Saccharomyces cerevisiae S288C: one gene and its partners. The gene in region 1 interacts genetically with each later gene. Each region holds a gene or a part of one and is shown in the gene's direction. Other genes may lie near its edges. The genes, in order: CAP2, AIP1, SAC6 and BBC1.

Region 1 (3,314 bases):
TTTTGTTCTGCCTGATAATATATTGATTATACTGTGCTCGGATTCCGACCTCTTCTTTGTTGCAGAAGCCATAAGCTGAACTTATTGCATTTGCTCAAGTGCATTTATTATGGCGCCGCGCCGCCGCTCTCCAAAATTCTTGTCCTTCCTCGTTTTGCTGGCAAGGAGCAAAACGAAGAGGAAGGTAGAAAAGAGAAAATTTGAACAAACAGGGAAAAGGGAAAGAGAAAAAGGGACACTTTACGCTTTCCTCGACTAAGTCAAGCGATCGCTATCATCACATCCATTACACGCATTTCACGCATACATAAATAGGAAGATCATTTACAACAAGCAGATTATTTTCAAAAGACAACAGTAAGAATAAACGATGGTATCTTCTTTGCCCAAGGAATCGCAAGCCGAATTGCAACTGTTCCAGAACGAAATCAACGCCGCTAATCCGTCCGACTTTCTTCAGTTCTCCGCCAACTATTTCAATAAAAGGCTGGAACAACAGAGAGCGTTCCTCAAGGCCAGGGAGCCTGAATTTAAGGCAAAGAACATTGTTCTATTTCCGGAACCAGAGGAGTCATTTTCCAGACCTCAATCAGCTCAATCTCAATCAAGATCCAGATCGAGTGTTATGTTCAAATCCCCCTTTGTGAACGAGGACCCACACTCCAACGTGTTTAAAAGTGGGTTTAATTTAGACCCGCACGAACAGGACACTCACCAGCAAGCACAGGAAGAACAACAGCATACTAGAGAAAAGACATCAACTCCTCCACTCCCAATGCACTTCAACGCCCAAAGGCGTACTTCTGTTAGTGGTGAGACCTTACAACCAAACAATTTTGACGATTGGACTCCAGATCACTATAAGGAAAAGTCCGAGCAGCAATTGCAAAGACTGGAAAAATCGATCCGTAATAACTTTCTGTTCAACAAGCTGGATTCCGACTCAAAAAGGCTGGTCATAAATTGTCTGGAGGAGAAGTCCGTCCCCAAAGGTGCTACGATAATCAAGCAAGGTGACCAAGGGGACTACTTCTATGTCGTCGAAAAGGGTACTGTTGACTTCTACGTCAACGACAACAAGGTCAACTCTTCCGGGCCAGGCTCCAGTTTCGGGGAACTTGCTCTTATGTACAACAGCCCTCGTGCTGCCACCGTTGTAGCAACCTCCGACTGTTTGTTGTGGGCTCTAGACAGGCTCACCTTCAGAAAAATACTTTTGGGCAGCTCTTTCAAGAAGAGACTCATGTATGACGATCTTTTGAAGAGCATGCCAGTTTTGAAGAGTTTGACTACGTACGACCGTGCCAAACTTGCCGATGCACTGGATACCAAGATCTACCAGCCGGGTGAAACAATCATTCGCGAGGGTGATCAAGGGGAGAACTTTTATTTAATTGAGTACGGAGCTGTGGACGTCTCTAAGAAGGGCCAAGGTGTCATAAATAAACTGAAAGACCATGATTATTTCGGTGAAGTGGCCTTGCTAAACGATTTGCCCAGACAGGCCACTGTGACTGCTACAAAGAGAACCAAAGTTGCCACATTGGGGAAAAGTGGTTTTCAACGTTTACTGGGTCCTGCAGTAGACGTATTAAAGCTCAATGATCCTACAAGACATTAAGTAAAAAGGGGAAGCGATCTTAAATCCACATGAATTTCCTTTCTCTTTTTCTTCTTCTTCTGTTCCCTTTTTCTTTCTTCTTCCTTCAACGTCTACGTAAATATAATGTATAACATCTCCACTTTCCTTTCCCTTATAGCGTTATGTTACCTGTTTAAACTCTAAATTCTTCATCTACTACTGCTGTTACTACATGTATATATGTTCATTTTTTTTTTTTTTTTTCACCACGGAAAACGTAAAAATGAGAGCATTTGTAACAAATAAAGGAGAACTGTTCAATCAAGTGACATACAAAAACTCTCTCCAACTCTACAATCACCACCGTAATGTCTGATGCTCAATTCGATGCTGCTTTAGATCTTCTTAGGAGGCTAAATCCTACCACGTTACAGGAGAATCTAAACAACTTGATCGAATTACAACCAAATTTGGCACAAGATTTACTATCTTCAGTAGACGTTCCCCTATCCACACAGAAAGATTCCGCCGATTCAAACCGGGAGTACTTATGCTGCGACTATAATCGTGATATTGATTCGTTCAGATCGCCTTGGTCGAACACTTATTACCCAGAACTATCCCCAAAGGATCTACAAGACAGCCCCTTTCCCTCAGCCCCTTTAAGAAAATTGGAGATCTTAGCCAATGACTCTTTCGACGTTTACAGAGATCTCTATTATGAAGGCGGTATCTCCAGCGTGTACCTCTGGGACCTCAATGAAGAAGATTTCAATGGGCACGATTTTGCAGGGGTAGTGCTTTTCAAAAAAAACCAATCAGATCACAGTAATTGGGACAGTATCCATGTTTTTGAAGTTACAACATCTCCTTCTTCTCCCGACAGTTTCAACTATAGAGTCACCACTACAATCATTCTGCACTTGGACAAAACAAAAACTGACCAGAATTCTCATATGATGTTATCCGGGAACCTGACAAGACAGACCGAAAAGGACATCGCTATTGATATGTCCCGTCCATTAGATGTTATTTTCACATCACATGTCGCTAATTTGGGTTCCTTAATTGAGGACATTGAGTCTCAGATGAGAAATCTATTGGAAACTGTTTATTTCGAAAAGACAAGAGATATCTTCCACCAAACAAAGAACGCAGCCATTGCTTCCTCTGCTGAGGAAGCGAATAAAGACGCACAGGCAGAGGTAATCAGAGGTTTACAGTCTTTATAGAAATATTTACATGTATCGCTGGTATATCATATAAATACATACAGCAGCACTAAGTGGTAGAAAAGCGCTATCAAAAATCACTCGGAACGAACACTGAAGAAAAAGCGAAAAATCAAAAATATGACCAACGCTTGGAAAATTTCAGTAGCAATTAGACGAACCTCGCAGTCCTGTAGTAAAACGGATTAAGGGACTTCATATACTGTTGATACTCGGTGTATTGCAATTACCTACTAGGAGTTTTCTGAATAGGGACTTAAGAAGTCAAATATACAGACAAAAATAGGGGGTTGTAGAAGGAATATTTGATTCGAACTATGAAATGCAGGGTATGGTCAGAGGCTCGTGTTTATACGAATATCAATAAACAAAGAACCGAGGAATATTGGGATTATGAAAATACTGTAATTGATTGGTCCACAAATACAAAGGACTATGAAATTGAAAATAAAGTTGGGCGAGGAAAATACTCCGAGGTTTTCCAAGGTGTCAAATTAGAC
Region 2 (5,872 bases), on another chromosome or scaffold:
TTTATAACTTGGTTTTCCTGGAAGCTCCACATCATTAGATTTGTATAATATATCTATTGGGTAGGGATGTGCTCCGCAAAAATTACCATCTAAATGGAAGTAAACTTCTTTTCTAATGTCAATTGGTAACTCTAAGAATCTAACAGGATTGAAAGAAGGCATCAAGCGACATGGACTTCTGGGGACTCACAGTCAGCTTTCTGTTGATAGCATCTCATCTCACAATGTTTTGTTTTCAAGCCCTCGAAGGTAGTTAAACGCGAAAACGTATCAAAATGCAAAGCACTCTAAAATGAAATTTATACAGGTTCCTTTTTTCAATAAAAAGAGAAGATATTATTTTTTTCGATTACAATGAGAAAGAGATATATATGTATGCCTGAATATCTATAAAATAGATACAAATTAAAATCTATATGCTAATATTTCCTTAACTCGTTAAAAGTTGAAGCATACCTTCAATTCTTTGAGCTTCTTTAGACTTATGAATTTCATGTCTAACTTTAGTTTTCAAATCTATCATCAATTCTTGAAGAACTGGAGAGCTTTCTAACGTATTCCCATATAATTCTAAAACCACGGCGACCCAATCCGCTACAATAGATGCTGATCTCACATCTTCAATACCTTTTAAGCACCAATTCAGTAGCGGCTCTAATGTAGATTCATCTCTACCATATAGCGCTACACGAACTTTGCCACGTTTGCGTAGTTCTTGAAGAACAGTAAGTGTCAACTCTTTGGCCATACCTGGTACAAAGGCATTGTCGAGTGCTTCGCTCCATTTAAACTGATTTATGTTCCTTTCGAATGCACGCATACGACGTTGAGATCTTACCTTATCATTGTGGATTATATGCTCTTGATCACCTTGGTATTCCGAGCCTCGCATCATTCTCTGGAAGTTATTACTTTTCGCATTCTTATTAAAACTGGCGGGTGCGTTTTCTTTATCGGAAGAACGTTTCTCTTTCTTTTTAGTTCTAATGGCTAGTAGTCCTGATGATAAACCTGCTACTAAATGCCTATTCCCTTGTGCGGTACTAGGGGAGACAGCACAACTTAGTACGGGACCCGAAAATTTCCAGCCAAATTTGACTTGGAAATTGTCTAAAGGATCAAAGACTTTGACATGACCATCTAAGGAAGAAGCGATCAACGCCGATTGCATTGGAGAATCAAAATTTTCAACATAGTCCAAGCATGTCACAGCCTTATTGAAATTGCCACGTTCGTATAATTTCTTGTTACTGGTCAAGTCCCACACTTTGAAATTATTGCCACCGCAAGAAACAATTTGGGTTGGAGATACTGCAATAACATTTTCAACAGGTTGGTCATGATTCAGAGAATAAATTGGCGTGGATCCGCTAGATCTTGTGTCATATAATCTGATCAAACCGTCGTATGAGCCTGTTGCAACCAAATGTGGGGCTGCTGGGATAAATGATAAGGTACGAACATAGTCAGTAGCTCCGGTGAGCTCTAATTGTGGCTCATATGCGTTGGATATATCCCAAAGTCTTGTCACTCTATCGTCACTCGCCGTAGCCAGAATTTTGTTATCTTGCGTATGGAATTTCGTAACATGTGTGGGATGTGTGGAAGCGTTTATAGATAAAAGGATAGTCCTGGGATTATAACTGTCGTATACAGACACTAAACCGGTAGCATCACCGGCACAAAGCAATTTACCATCACTCCTAAAGGATGCAGAATAGACAACATCTTTAAATCTTGAAAAGGTCTTGATCACTTGCCTAGTTCTTGAAGAAAATATTTGAACTCTGGTTGAGGAAGTTACTGCAAAATCATGAGGATGTTGAGGATTGAATGATATGTGAGTAACGCTATTATGTTCTTTAACCAGTTGTGCGGAAGTGTATTGACGCCAGTAACGCTGCTCCGGGGTAGTCTGTTGAGGCAATAATGGAGCCTTCGAAGTGATTATTCTAGGCCTAGCAGTCGACATTTTATTTCTATATTATGATCCTTAGGCCTGTTCTTAGCAAAAACTGTTTCAAGGGACTTCTATTAGTGATGGGCATCGTTTTTTCTTCAAAGCTCGAAAGTTTTCAAAATTTTTCAGTTATTCCAAAAATTTTCAAAAGATAATTATCACTAATTACGAGGTATGTAGGTCACAGAACGTTAAATATTATGCTTACTTGGGGTGAATGACTAGAAACTGGAGGTGTATCAATACTAGCTATTGCTTTCCGTTCATAATCAGAACTGAACGCTACCAAGACGTTCTGAAACGTTTTTATTGGTCTCTAGTGTCCCGTTCGTTTGTTTTCGAAACAATGAATTGTATATGATGTACGGATGTTTTCACCCTGTAACCTGCCACCTTTTCTACCGAAGGCATATATGTCAGATCTTTGATTAATGATCATTATTTAATTATAAGGGGAAGCAACTCAGCACTATTCTGCCTTTTGCAACTCGCAAATACAGTTTTTAAGGTATATTAACGGGCAAAAGTAGCAAAGTAAACAAAAATAATGTCATCTATCTCTTTGAAGGAAATTATACCACCTCAGCCTTCGACACAGCGTAACTTTACTACGCATTTATCGTATGACCCTACAACCAACGCAATTGCTTACCCATGTGGAAAATCTGCATTTGTACGTTGTTTGGACGATGGAGACAGTAAAGTACCTCCAGTAGTACAATTTACTGGTCATGGCTCTTCGGTAGTCACAACGGTAAAGTTCTCTCCAATTAAGGGTTCCCAGTACCTATGCTCCGGTGACGAATCTGGAAAAGTGATTGTTTGGGGATGGACATTTGACAAAGAAAGCAATTCTGTTGAAGTGAATGTTAAGTCTGAATTCCAAGTTTTAGCAGGTCCAATCAGCGATATCTCCTGGGATTTTGAAGGGCGAAGACTCTGCGTTGTGGGAGAAGGTCGTGATAACTTTGGTGTTTTCATATCCTGGGATTCTGGTAATTCCTTAGGTGAAGTTTCAGGTCACTCACAACGCATCAATGCTTGTCATTTGAAGCAATCTAGACCTATGAGATCTATGACAGTTGGAGATGATGGATCTGTTGTCTTTTATCAAGGACCTCCATTTAAGTTCTCTGCCAGTGACAGAACACACCACAAACAAGGCTCATTTGTCAGGGATGTTGAATTTTCACCTGACAGCGGTGAATTTGTTATTACGGTAGGGTCTGACAGAAAGATTTCTTGCTTTGATGGCAAATCAGGTGAGTTTCTTAAATACATAGAGGATGATCAAGAACCAGTTCAAGGTGGTATATTTGCACTATCGTGGCTTGATTCCCAAAAGTTTGCTACCGTAGGAGCAGACGCTACCATTAGGGTTTGGGACGTCACGACTTCAAAATGCGTTCAAAAATGGACCTTAGACAAGCAACAACTGGGAAATCAACAAGTTGGTGTTGTTGCAACAGGAAACGGAAGGATTATTTCTCTTTCACTGGATGGGACCTTAAACTTCTATGAACTTGGACATGACGAGGTTTTAAAAACCATTAGTGGTCATAACAAGGGTATTACTGCTTTGACAGTCAACCCACTAATCAGTGGGTCATATGATGGTAGGATTATGGAATGGTCTAGCTCTTCCATGCACCAAGATCACTCCAACTTGATTGTATCATTGGATAATAGTAAAGCGCAAGAATACTCCAGTATTTCTTGGGATGATACTTTGAAAGTGAACGGTATTACTAAGCATGAATTTGGATCGCAACCAAAGGTTGCTAGTGCGAACAATGATGGCTTCACTGCAGTACTAACAAATGATGATGATTTGTTGATATTACAGTCTTTTACGGGCGATATAATCAAGAGTGTAAGACTGAACTCACCAGGCTCTGCCGTTAGCTTGAGCCAAAATTACGTTGCAGTTGGTTTGGAAGAAGGTAATACTATTCAGGTATTCAAATTATCAGATTTGGAAGTCAGTTTTGATTTAAAAACACCTCTTCGCGCAAAACCCTCGTACATATCAATTTCGCCATCTGAAACATACATCGCTGCTGGAGATGTTATGGGCAAGATATTGCTATATGATTTACAATCAAGAGAAGTGAAAACTTCAAGATGGGCTTTCCACACCAGTAAAATCAACGCCATTTCATGGAAACCTGCTGAAAAGGGAGCAAACGAAGAGGAAATTGAAGAGGACTTAGTTGCCACTGGTTCTTTAGACACCAATATTTTTATTTACTCCGTCAAAAGACCTATGAAAATCATTAAGGCGTTGAATGCTCACAAGGACGGTGTTAACAACCTTTTATGGGAAACACCATCTACCTTGGTTAGTTCTGGTGCGGACGCTTGCATTAAAAGGTGGAATGTTGTCCTCGAGTGAGATAAGAATATAAAGTAAACAATTACGTAACCTTAGAAAAATAGATATAAAAAAGTTTTACACTGTTTTTACCACAGTCCATATAAACTTGTAATTATTACCCGAATGCTTTGATTACTTCGCTCTTTTAAAAAAAAACCCGTTCGAACTATTAAACATGTTACTGTGAGCAGACAAAAATATTGCAAGAAAACAGCTTTATAAAGTTTAAGCATTACTGAATACAGTACATTTACTTTTGAAGAAGGAAATACCATCTAGCAGAAATGTCAGATTCAGAGGGAGGTCTAGCTTCCGAAGTTGAACATGAGAAGCGGTCAAGATCTACTAGCAACAGACCCAATTATGCAATTGATACTGAGGATTTAGATATTGATGAAAATGATGAGAATGAAGATGATGATTACAGAGAAGAAGAAGCCAATGAGGGAGTGAATGAAGAAGAAATAAGTGATGAGGAGGAACAGATAAATAAAAGCGGAAGAAACAAAAGGAGGCACGTGGACGAAGAAGAGGATTTGTCAGAGGATAAAGGCGTTACTAGATCTAGAAACCGTTCAAAGTTCAAAAAACCAGTATTTCCCGGAATCGATGATGCTGAGGAGAACTTAAATCCTTTGAAAGTGGTCAATGAAGAATATGTTCTACCAGATGATCCTGAAGGTGAGACGAAGATAACTGCAGATGGTGATCTATTAGGAGGCAGAGAATTTTTAGTGCGCACCTTCACATTAACTGAGAAGGGGAATCGAAAGTTTATGCTGGCCACCGAACCGGCTAGGATAGTGGGTTTTAGAGATTCATATTTATTTTTTCAAACTCACCCCAACCTTTATAAGTTCATTCTGAATCAAACTCAAAAGAACGACTTGATAGACCGTGGCGTTTTACCTTATTCATATAGAAATAGACAAATCGCTCTAGTCACCGCTAGAGGCGTGTTTAAAGAATTTGGTGCTAAAATCATTCGTGGCGGCAAACATATAACCGATGATTATTATGCTTCTGAATTAAGAACAAAGGGAAATGTAATTGAAGGAAAACTTGCTGGTGATCCTATTGATAAATCCGCAAGGGCCTTAGAAACCATGATGTATCCTGCTTCCGAGAATGGCATAAACCCTGCAAAAAACCAGGTGGAATTCTTTGAACACAGGCCACATGGTCACATGAGTAATTCTAATATTATTGCATCAGGTAGTAAGCTGAGCTCTACAAATTGGCTCTATCAGCATTCTGCTGCGTGTAGTAGATTTAATAGCGATTTGTTTTATGATAGAGTGAAGGTTCTTCTTGTAGATCAACAAGGCTTGAGAGATGCATACACAAATATATTACACATACCAGAATCCACACAGTCAACCACTGTTTTAGGATGGAGGAGATCAAAAAACGATAGTCCCAGCGACACAAGCATTGTGTATGAGACCGTTATACACGATAACGATTTGAATAAACCGAAAACGGGACTGTCGGAAATCCCGAAAGAGATCTATGAAGACGTTGTTGATGAAGAC
Region 3 (6,036 bases), on another chromosome or scaffold:
AAAAATACCGGGTCTCCTATGAAGATCAAAGCATTGGTATTAAATTTGCGACCCGACACACTTAACCTTGCGGAGTACGACGCTTCCGATGACTTCTTAAAAGAGCTAGAATACATCGACATATTTGATGCTTCCACCTTAAGGCAGCTAGAGATTTTGTCTTGGTACAGTCGCGACGATTTTCCCTCTGGCGAAGAAGGTGGTTTTGACAGGTTATATGTCAAATGGGGGCTAGAAGGATTTTGGAAATTTCCGAACATTGAGAAACTATCATTAGCGTCATTGGTTTACAGCGAATTTTTTCTAATGAATTGTTTGGCTGTGTTTCACAATTTAAAGATACTGAAACTTGATTACATGGGTAAATTTGACTTCGATGTGTCGTTGATTAACTTCTTATCTAAACAAGTGTGTGGCAAAAAATTACAGCGTTTTGACATACACTGCCAACTAAATCACAGGCTTTTTTTTCCCATGACAGATAACCCACTAACTCGCTTGAATTTCGATGGTTTCTGCCCTTGTTCAACTTGCAAAAATACAATTCACGAGGTCATTCTAAAAAAAATCTTTCCTGAAACCCGGTCAAAACTTTTAAAGAACCCAAATAAGTTCCAAGCCCATAATTTCTTTTACCAAATGTTTTTCGAGAACAAGATCATGCCCTATACAAACATTATTGACAACGAATCACCTGCGATGGGATGGGATTCTGTACCTATTGAAACGTTTGTACGAAAGTTCAATGAAAATCTGCAAAGCACCATAGAAAATACTGAGAATATTACAGTGAATAAAATTACTAGAGAAGATGCCATTAGTTTGTACCACTTATACCTTCATTATCTAAAAGACGTATTTAAAGTTTTTGAGCAAAGTTTGCCGAACTTAGAATATCTAACCATCAACGGTATACCTACAAAAATAATACAAGTGGACGAGTTACAACGATGCGCGGTTCCCCTCTTCTATAATAATGGCTATAAAAGCAACTCTGTTTATGAATTGGTGGACGCAGAAGCTCTATTTAGTTGATACTGTGAGACATGGCGGTTATAACACGTACATAATGATATATACTCTAAATACTGCAAATTGTCAACAAGAGGAAATCAAAACAAATGGATTGTATAGTCTAGTTAGAGCTTTCTCAGTGTTCTCACTGGATTGCAGTGATGTGACATAGTTCAATAAAACAAATTATGAGCAATAAAAGCAACCGCAGGAGTTTACGTGACATAGGGAATACGATTGGTCGAAATAATATACCAAGTGACAAGGACAATGTCTTTGTGAGATTGAGTATGTCCCCTTTGAGGACGACAAGCCAAAAAGAGTTTTTGAAACCACCTATGAGGATATCACCTAACAAGACAGATGGAATGAAGCATAGTATACAAGTAACACCAAGAAGGATTATGTCGCCGGAATGTCTGAAGGGCTATGTCTCTAAGGAAACTCAAAGCCTGGATAGGCCTCAGTTCAAAAATTCGAATAAAAATGTGAAGATCCAAAACTCAGATCATATAACTAATATAATATTCCCTACATCACCAACCAAACTGACATTCAGTAATGAAAATAAAATCGGGGGTGATGGTTCGTTAACGAGAATACGGGCCCGGTTTAAGAATGGACTCATGTCACCTGAAAGGATACAGCAGCAACAGCAGCAACATATTCTCCCATCGGATGCCAAAAGCAACACTGACCTCTGTTCTAATACTGAGCTCAAGGACGCCCCATTTGAGAATGACCTTCCTCGAGCTAAATTGAAAGGGAAGAATTTATTAGTTGAACTCAAGAAAGAAGAGGAAGACGTGGGAAATGGCATAGAATCCCTTACTAAATCGAACACTAAACTGAATTCCATGCTGGCGAACGAAGGTAAGATACACAAAGCTAGTTTCCAGAAAAGTGTAAAATTTAAACTACCTGATAATATAGTGACTGAAGAAACCGTGGAACTTAAAGAAATAAAGGACTTGCTACTACAAATGTTGAGAAGACAGCGAGAGATTGAATCAAGATTATCCAATATCGAACTTCAACTCACGGAAATACCGAAACATAAGTAATCATATCCCTTCTCACATTTTTTACACAGGAAGTAAGCAAGTTATGTTATATTTCCGACACTATAATTAATTCTTAGCAGTTAAAGGTGCTTTGTCTATATTACATTTACATACAGCTTGAGTGATCCTGACCGGATATAGGGTCCTATTTTCTTACGTGAACGGCTTTTCTTCTTGTTCCCGATGGCCTTCATGTGAAAAAGCACTCCTCGGGAGGCGGAAAAATATCAAAAGTACGGGGCGAAGTTTATAATGAAGATTTATCGATATAAATTTTGGTTATTTCAGGAGAACAAGAAAGCTCTTTACACTAAAATTATCAGAGAAGAAGCTGATATATTAGCCCTAAGGAGTACACCAAAACACAATGAATATTGTCAAATTACAAGTATGTATGCCTTTCTCGAATTCCCACACTGCTGAGCACAGTGAAAAAGTTTTTTCTACCTTTTAGGTTGTAATAAACGTTTCATATACTAACAAACTCTTCTGCGATTAGAGAAAATTTCCAATTTTGACTCAAGAGGATCTTTTTTCCACAATTGAAAAGTTCAGAGCCATTGACTTAGATGATAAAGGATGGGTTGAAAAACAGCAAGCTCTAGAAGCGGTGTCCAAAGATGGTGATGCTACTTATGACGAAGCAAGAGAAACCCTGAAGCATGTGGGTGTGGATGCGTCAGGCCGTGTTGAACTGGACGATTACGTCGGGTTGGTTGCAAAATTAAGAGAATCTAAAACAGGAGCTGCTCCACAGACCACTTTCAACGTAGCACCTAACTCAACCCCTATTGTTTCCACTGCTGCCACAGGACTACAGCACAAGGGTAAGGGTACTCAAGCCAAGATTATTGTTGCTGGCTCCCAAACAGGTACTACACATACCATCAATGAAGAAGAAAGACGTGAATTTACTAAACATATCAATAGCGTCTTGGCGGGAGACCAAGATATAGGTGATTTGCTTCCATTTCCTACTGATACTTTCCAATTATTTGATGAATGTAGGGATGGGTTGGTGCTATCTAAGTTGATCAACGACTCTGTTCCTGATACTATCGATACAAGAGTTTTGAATTGGCCTAAGAAGGGTAAGGAATTGAATAATTTTCAGGCTAGTGAAAATGCTAATATTGTTATTAATTCTGCAAAAGCCATTGGTTGTGTCGTTGTTAATGTTCATTCCGAGGACATTATTGAAGGTAGAGAGCATTTGATCCTGGGTTTGATTTGGCAAATTATTAGGAGAGGTTTGTTAAGTAAAATTGATATTAAGCTGCATCCTGAGTTATACCGTCTATTGGAGGATGATGAAACGTTGGAGCAATTTTTGAGGTTGCCTCCGGAGCAAATTCTACTACGTTGGTTTAACTACCATTTGAAGCAAGCAAACTGGAACAGAAGGGTTACCAATTTTTCAAAAGACGTGTCTGATGGTGAAAACTATACTATCTTGTTGAACCAGTTGGACCCCGCCTTGTGTTCTAAGGCACCATTACAAACCACAGATTTAATGGAGAGAGCTGAGCAAGTTTTACAAAATGCTGAAAAGCTAGATTGTAGAAAGTATTTAACCCCAAGTTCATTAGTTGCGGGGAACCCTAAATTAAACCTGGCTTTCGTGGCACATCTATTCAATACACATCCTGGATTAGAGCCTATTCAGGAAGAGGAAAAGCCTGAAATTGAAGAATTTGACGCCGAAGGTGAGAGAGAGGCAAGAGTCTTTACCTTATGGTTGAACTCTCTTGACGTTGATCCACCTGTCATTTCGCTGTTTGATGATTTGAAGGATGGTTTGATATTATTGCAAGCTTACGAAAAGGTGATGCCCGGTGCTGTTGATTTTAAACATGTCAACAAAAGACCGGCCTCGGGTGCAGAGATATCCAGATTCAAAGCCTTAGAAAACACCAACTATGCAGTCGACTTGGGCAGAGCCAAAGGATTTTCTTTGGTTGGTATCGAAGGATCTGATATTGTAGATGGTAACAAATTACTGACCTTAGGGTTAGTGTGGCAATTGATGCGTAGAAATATTTCGATAACCATGAAGACATTATCCTCAAGTGGTAGAGACATGAGTGATTCTCAAATATTAAAGTGGGCCCAAGACCAGGTAACTAAAGGTGGTAAAAACTCTACCATTAGATCATTTAAGGACCAAGCTTTATCAAACGCCCACTTCTTATTGGATGTTCTGAATGGTATCGCGCCGGGCTATGTTGATTATGATCTAGTCACCCCTGGTAACACCGAGGAAGAAAGGTACGCAAACGCAAGATTGGCTATTTCTATTGCTAGAAAGTTGGGTGCTTTGATTTGGTTGGTGCCAGAAGATATCAACGAAGTTCGTGCAAGATTAATTATTACTTTTATCGCTTCGTTAATGACTTTGAACAAATGAGCCAACAAACAACTTTCGTAACCTGTTTTCTACTCAGCTTTCTTGTTCCAATGCTCCGTTATACGATTGGTTAAGTGTACAACAATATATAGCCTCAAGTATTTCTGAAGTTTTTAATATGTAATAATAGATTTCAACTTCCACCTACTTTTATTCGTGATTACTGAGCCATTGTAAAAATGCCTCCAACGCTCAATGATTCCGTTGTCGTCTTCTATCATGCCTCTACTGGATTAAAAAATCGTAAATAAACTACTTATTAAGCCATATATCCTGTGAACTTTTTTTCATATACATCCAAGGTTCTTTGAAATATGCAGAAAATGTACGTGATAGTTAAGCTTTTAGGCATCGAACATTTCCGGACAATTGCACCCACATCCAGATGGGCACTCATCACCAATCTCCCACCATATCCTCGCGCACGAAGAGTGTAAAACATGTTGACAATTTCCACATATGAAGCTACTTCTTGTCACTCTTAAATCACAGTAATTACAATTTCGGGCTAGGAATTTTTCTTCTCCAAACTCGTTGTTCTCGATCCAGTGCGTAAGTACACCATTGTAAGGACTTTTCTTGTTATTGTTAGGGGGGATGCCTTGGGAACTATAAGAACTTCTGAAATCAGTACTAACTTTTAGAATTTTGACCCTTTCTAAAGGCAGTCCCCATCTAAAAAGTAACTTTGAATATTGATAAATATAAGTTTGGAACTTTGGTATGTCTGATACCTCTAAATGTAAGAGGTCTTCTTGTTCATAAGCTTCTATAATATCGTCATGTAAAAGCTCGACTTTGATGTCAGGCATTCTACTATGAAAAGGGCTGGATGAAATGGCACGGCTGCCCTGCTTTTGGGCCGGCTCCGTAAATTTACTACTACCATTAAGAGTGTTGTGCGTCCTTAACCTAGCGTGGTGGTCGTCGGACCTTATTGAGGAGTTGTCTCCTCCATGAATGTTTTTTCCTCTCAAATGATTACCATAAAAATTTGGTGTAACAGTGCTACTCCTAGACCTGGTGGAAAAAGCATCAGATCCTTTCCAAAATGATGTGTTTTGACTTTCGTTGTCATTAAACACAATGGTTCCTTCCATATTCTCTAATTCTTGCCCATAATATCTGGCTGGAATCTTTTTTCTCCTGGCGCTTAATATGACACAGCATAACATGGCCAGCATCTGTAAATTTTGTTGCCTCTCAAAGTAGACAATCGCTTCCTTTATGAACCACTTTATCCCCATGGGATGGTTATTCCATATAGTAGTATAAGGATCGTAATCACTTTGGTCTATCAACATATCAGATAATATTTGCCAACAATGACTAATTTCATCAAGGTCAAACTTTTCTGCCACCAAAGCGTTATTTCTAGCAAATCCTTCCGGTGTGGCATCCATAAATAAGTATTCTAATGCTAGTTCTTTGCGGTCGCTTAATAAACTGCTGAAATTTTTGGAAATCACTAAATTCTTATTTTTTTTGGTAGATTCTACTGTTTTCCCGGATTCCGAATGTACTGAGCTGAAAGCTTTAAAATTACCTCTT
Region 4 (5,706 bases), on another chromosome or scaffold:
TCATTAATATGCTCGAATACTGCTGTGGCACGTTAGAATAATCCTGTTGAACCTGCTGCTGCTGCTGCTGCTGCTGTGTCTCTAACCTATTTGTGATCTCTTCCCAAATCTCCTGTTTGTTAGATTGCAACCTTCTGTTCATTTCTTGGATGAAATAATCCTTATCGATATATTGCAACTCATTCGAAAGAATTTCCTTTACATAGCGATTCAAATCATACTCCCAACGACTTTCAGCGCTTCCAGCAGTACCAATGCCTGGAGACTCAATAACGTCTGAAATCAAAGCACTCAAATAATTGTGCAATTCAGGGATTATTAAAAGCGACGAAGAATTATTAATTACAACGGGTATTTCTTGAGGGAGGTGTGTATCCAACTGTTTTACCAGTTGATCTTGCCATTGAGTAACATTCTCGACCGTAAATTTGTGATTTCGCCTCTGTAACTCACTCATGGAAGTTGAAATTGTCTCAACCTGTTTTGTCAGCGAGTTAATGTCATTTTCAAAATTAACCAAATTTGAGGGTAAAAGTCTTTTAATATTCTTTTCAAATTGAGAGACAATGATTTTTACTGTTTTATCCAATTCTGAACTGTGCTTTTCGTCCCGCTTACTCAACTCACTATATAAATGATTCACCTGTTTTTGTAGGTTGCTGAATGATTTGCCTGGAGAGGATGTAGCGCCGGATGAATGGCTTTCTAAATCATTATTTTTCACGGTTGTCATCAAAAAAGATCCAAAAAAATAAAAAACGAAGAAAAGGCCTCCATAGAAAATGTACGTCCGCCACTTCAACTTCTTAGCTTCACCTGAACTTTCCAAGTTCTCTTCAAAGTCAGAATTACTTTCCAAATCGTAGCTGTCGGAATCGCTGTCTTCTATAAAACTCTTGTCTGCCTCATCTGTATAGTCCTCGTCGCTATATCCGTCGGTCTCTTGTCCATTATCCTCAATGTACGGATCATCATCGTCGTCATCATTATGTTGGTCTAACGGAAAATCAAGATTTTTTTTGAACATTTCGTACGCGGAATCATTCTCTTTATCCATATCATAGTTGTCAGTTTCACCGCCATCGGTGTATATCCCTTTTTTGATGGCTCGTAGGCTAATCTCCTGTTCCCTATTCATTTTGTCCTTGAGGACATCTGCATACGCGGACTTTACAGCCTTATTGTAAGGCATTTGTTCATTAGCCGCTCCTGCCTCTTCCCGCCTATGCTCATTTGAGTTATTCATTTCCAGCACTTCCAGGATAAAAGTTACTACCAACTGAAAACAAGAGAAACCGCCGTGAAACTATGGAGCACTACAGTTAAAACACCACTAACTCCACTCTGTTGACTTTTATCTGTAACTCCTCATGACAACCTTGTTGATAATTATCTCAAGATGACGATATTTACATTGTCATTATATTCCATTTTCGCGTCTCATATGTTACCCGTATCAAAGAGTATAACCCTATCAATAAGTGATGTGTATCATTTATAAACCTCATATTTTAAGAATAAACCTATATAATATAGGAATATACCCTGAAAATAGTTAGAGGTCTACAATGCCCCTATTTTACCTCCAGAATTATAATCTCCTTAAGACTTCAACTAGAAGTGGTATTTACTAGCACACTGTGAAACAGTAGCGTCAAGTCGGTAGTAAACATCAATCGCGTCCCAACTGCAAGAGCTACTAGAAGTAAACACAGTCTTACCCAAACTAAGGATGAGTGAACCCGAAGTGCCCTTCAAGGTGGTGGCTCAGTTCCCATACAAGTCCGATTACGAGGACGATTTAAATTTTGAAAAAGATCAAGAGATTATTGTTACGTCTGTTGAAGACGCCGAATGGTACTTTGGTGAATACCAGGATTCAAATGGCGACGTTATTGAGGGTATCTTCCCGAAAAGTTTTGTTGCTGTTCAGGGATCTGAAGTTGGAAAGGAAGCCGAATCATCTCCGAATACCGGTTCCACTGAGCAACGTACAATCCAGCCGGAAGTAGAACAAAAGGACCTACCAGAGCCCATTTCCCCTGAAACGAAGAAAGAAACTCTGTCCGGGCCAGTGCCAGTTCCAGCCGCTACAGTGCCAGTTCCAGCCGCTACAGTGCCAGTTCCAGCCGCTACAGCAGTATCAGCACAGGTCCAGCATGATAGTAGTAGTGGTAATGGCGAAAGAAAAGTTCCCATGGATTCTCCAAAATTGAAGGCTCGCTTATCTATGTTTAATCAAGATATAACGGAGCAAGTTCCTTTACCAAAATCAACTCACTTGGATTTAGAAAACATACCTGTGAAAAAAACAATTGTGGCAGATGCTCCTAAATACTATGTCCCCCCTGGAATTCCAACAAATGATACGTCCAATCTTGAAAGGAAAAAGTCCCTAAAGGAAAACGAAAAAAAGATTGTTCCCGAACCAATTAATCGTGCACAGGTGGAAAGTGGAAGAATAGAAACTGAGAATGACCAATTAAAGAAGGATTTGCCCCAGATGAGCCTTAAAGAAAGAATTGCTCTTTTACAGGAGCAACAAAGATTACAGGCTGCAAGAGAAGAAGAACTCTTGAGAAAAAAGGCTAAGCTCGAACAAGAACATGAACGTAGTGCGGTTAACAAGAATGAGCCCTATACGGAAACTGAAGAAGCAGAAGAAAATGAAAAAACTGAACCGAAACCTGAATTTACGCCTGAAACTGAGCACAACGAGGAACCGCAAATGGAATTATTGGCACATAAAGAGATTACTAAAACCTCACGCGAAGCAGATGAAGGCACGAATGACATAGAGAAAGAACAATTTTTAGATGAGTACACAAAGGAAAATCAGAAAGTTGAGGAGTCACAAGCAGACGAGGCAAGAGGAGAAAATGTTGCTGAGGAAAGCGAAATAGGTTACGGCCATGAAGACAGAGAGGGAGATAATGATGAGGAAAAAGAAGAGGAAGATAGTGAAGAGAATCGTAGGGCCGCATTGAGAGAAAGAATGGCTAAACTATCTGGCGCTAGTAGATTCGGTGCTCCTGTTGGTTTTAACCCCTTCGGTATGGCTTCTGGAGTTGGAAATAAACCATCAGAAGAGCCGAAAAAGAAACAGCATAAGGAGAAGGAGGAGGAGGAACCTGAACAGCTCCAAGAACTACCTCGTGCCATACCTGTTATGCCATTTGTTGACCCAAGTTCTAACCCATTTTTTAGGAAATCAAATCTAAGTGAGAAGAATCAACCCACTGAAACAAAGACGCTAGATCCTCATGCAACCACAGAGCATGAACAGAAGCAAGAACATGGTACACACGCCTATCACAATTTAGCTGCTGTTGATAATGCACATCCCGAATACTCTGACCATGATTCTGATGAAGATACTGACGACCACGAGTTTGAGGATGCAAACGATGGGTTGAGAAAGCATTCGATGGTGGAGCAAGCTTTTCAGATAGGTAATAATGAGTCAGAGAATGTTAATTCCGGAGAAAAAATTTACCCTCAAGAACCACCAATCTCCCACCGTACTGCAGAAGTATCACATGATATTGAAAATTCATCACAAAACACAACTGGAAATGTTTTGCCTGTCTCTTCCCCACAAACAAGAGTTGCTCGCAACGGGTCGATAAATTCTTTGACTAAATCCATTTCAGGGGAAAATCGGCGGAAATCCATAAACGAGTATCATGATACAGTTTCCACTAATTCATCTGCATTAACAGAAACCGCTCAAGATATTTCGATGGCAGCTCCAGCAGCTCCAGTTCTAAGTAAGGTGTCACATCCTGAGGACAAGGTGCCACCTCACCCAGTGCCTTCTGCACCCTCTGCACCTCCAGTACCCTCTGCACCTTCAGTACCCTCTGCACCTCCAGTACCTCCAGCACCTCCAGCACTCTCTGCACCTTCAGTACCCCCAGTACCCCCAGTACCTCCAGTATCTTCAGCACCTCCAGCACTCTCAGCACCTTCAATACCTCCAGTACCTCCAACACCTCCAGCACCTCCAGCACCTCCAGCGCCTCTTGCGCTGCCTAAACACAATGAAGTAGAAGAACATGTCAAGTCATCTGCTCCCCTTCCACCTGTATCCGAGGAATATCATCCTATGCCAAATACTGCTCCGCCACTTCCACGTGCACCACCAGTACCACCGGCTACTTTTGAATTTGACTCTGAACCAACAGCCACTCATTCACATACAGCTCCTTCTCCTCCACCACATCAAAATGTCACGGCCTCTACACCTTCAATGATGAGTACGCAACAACGTGTGCCAACCTCAGTACTATCTGGGGCAGAAAAAGAATCACGAACCCTACCGCCCCATGTGCCTTCATTGACGAATCGTCCTGTGGATTCATTCCATGAGTCAGATACTACACCGAAGGTGGCCTCTATAAGAAGGTCAACGACGCATGATGTAGGCGAGATTTCCAACAACGTCAAGATAGAGTTTAATGCACAAGAAAGATGGTGGATTAATAAAAGCGCACCTCCTGCTATAAGCAATCTGAAGTTGAACTTTTTGATGGAGATCGATGATCATTTCATTTCCAAAAGATTACATCAAAAATGGGTGGTAAGGGATTTTTACTTCTTGTTTGAAAACTATTCGCAACTAAGATTCTCCTTGACCTTTAATAGTACAAGCCCAGAGAAAACGGTAACGACTCTTCAAGAACGCTTTCCATCGCCAGTCGAAACACAATCAGCACGTATTCTTGATGAATACGCTCAAAGGTTTAATGCGAAAGTTGTAGAGAAATCTCATTCATTGATAAATTCACATATTGGGGCTAAGAATTTCGTGTCACAAATTGTATCCGAATTCAAAGACGAAGTTATACAACCCATAGGAGCAAGAACGTTTGGCGCAACTATATTGAGTTATAAACCTGAAGAAGGAATCGAACAGTTGATGAAGAGCTTACAGAAGATTAAACCAGGTGACATTCTTGTAATTAGAAAGGCCAAATTTGAAGCTCATAAAAAGATCGGAAAAAACGAAATTATCAACGTTGGAATGGACTCCGCCGCTCCGTATTCGAGTGTTGTTACTGATTATGATTTTACAAAGAATAAGTTTAGAGTTATCGAAAATCACGAGGGAAAGATTATTCAAAACAGCTACAAGCTAAGCCATATGAAAAGTGGGAAGTTAAAGGTTTTCAGAATTGTTGCGAGAGGATACGTAGGTTGGTAATTTACCCAATGCTTCCAAGGGGAAATTGTGAATGCTTTCGATTTCATCATTTTCCTTTCGCATTTTCTTATCGTTATAGTTTAAGTGTATATTTTCATAACTCTTCTACAGAAGAAACTATACAAAGATTAAACAACCGTTTTTGTATCAGGTCTTATTTGAGCGGCTCAAAACGAAAGGTAGGATTCACTTATCTTACCGCCGTCAATAGTATCCCAAGTTGTACCTTTTCGTATATACCTACAATTCTGGCTTCAGACGCAGTAATTTTTGAGCAATCGTAACAAACGGTTTGCCCCTAGAGTTTGAATTTTTCTTCATCACTCCATGATAGTGCTCTCATATATTATCTTACGGAAATTAATCCAATATAGGTGCCCAAAGGTTGAAATTAATACGAACTTTGACCTGGCCTTAATTATCGATTCTAATACTATCTGAGTTTAAAGAACTTGCGGGGAAGAAATACGGAAAACATAGAAAGGCGATGGCAGATGAAG

Evidence for each region.
Region 2: mutations in CAP2 (region 1) and AIP1 together harm fitness more than expected from each alone (negative genetic interaction), as found in Saccharomyces cerevisiae (6 studies listed by BioGRID, with this or other methods).
Region 3: mutations in CAP2 (region 1) and SAC6 are lethal when combined (synthetic lethality), as found in Saccharomyces cerevisiae (4 studies listed by BioGRID, with this or other methods).
Region 4: mutations in CAP2 (region 1) and BBC1 together harm fitness more than expected from each alone (negative genetic interaction), as found in Saccharomyces cerevisiae (4 studies listed by BioGRID, with this or other methods).

The regions. Positions count from the first base shown.
Region 1 is NC_001141.2:288,726-292,039, reverse strand, and holds CAP2 (F-actin-capping protein subunit beta), read left to right. Parts: upstream 1-1,950; coding exon 1,951-2,814; downstream 2,815-3,314. Other genes in the region: cAMP-dependent protein kinase regulatory subunit BCY1, read left to right, coding at 371-1,621; casein kinase 2 catalytic subunit CKA1, read left to right, coding at 3,132-3,314. UniProt on the Saccharomyces cerevisiae protein: F-actin-capping proteins bind in a Ca(2+)-independent manner to the fast growing ends of actin filaments (barbed end) thereby blocking the exchange of subunits at these ends.
Region 2 is NC_001145.3:450,115-455,986, reverse strand, and holds AIP1 (Aip1p), read left to right. Parts: upstream 1-2,507; coding exon 2,508-4,355; downstream 4,356-5,872. Other genes in the region: CTF13 (Ctf13p), read right to left, coding at 1-162; snoRNA-binding rRNA-processing protein UTP15, read right to left, coding at 431-1,972; NPL6 (Npl6p), read left to right, coding at 4,622-5,872.
Region 3 is NC_001136.10:711,789-717,824, reverse strand, and holds SAC6 (fimbrin), read left to right. Parts: upstream 1-2,445; coding exon 2,446-2,466; intron 2,467-2,577; coding exon 2,578-4,485; downstream 4,486-6,036. Other genes in the region: YDR131C (uncharacterized protein), read left to right, coding at 1-1,035; FIN1 (Fin1p), read left to right, coding at 1,203-2,078; MTC5 (Mtc5p), read right to left, coding at 4,830-6,036. UniProt on the Saccharomyces cerevisiae protein: Binds to actin, and functionally associates with actin structures involved in the development and maintenance of cell polarity.
Region 4 is NC_001142.9:398,437-404,142, reverse strand, and holds BBC1 (Bbc1p), read left to right. Parts: upstream 1-1,732; coding exon 1,733-5,206; downstream 5,207-5,706. Other genes in the region: MPS3 (Mps3p), read right to left, coding at 1-1,246. UniProt on the Saccharomyces cerevisiae protein: Involved in the regulation of actin cytoskeleton.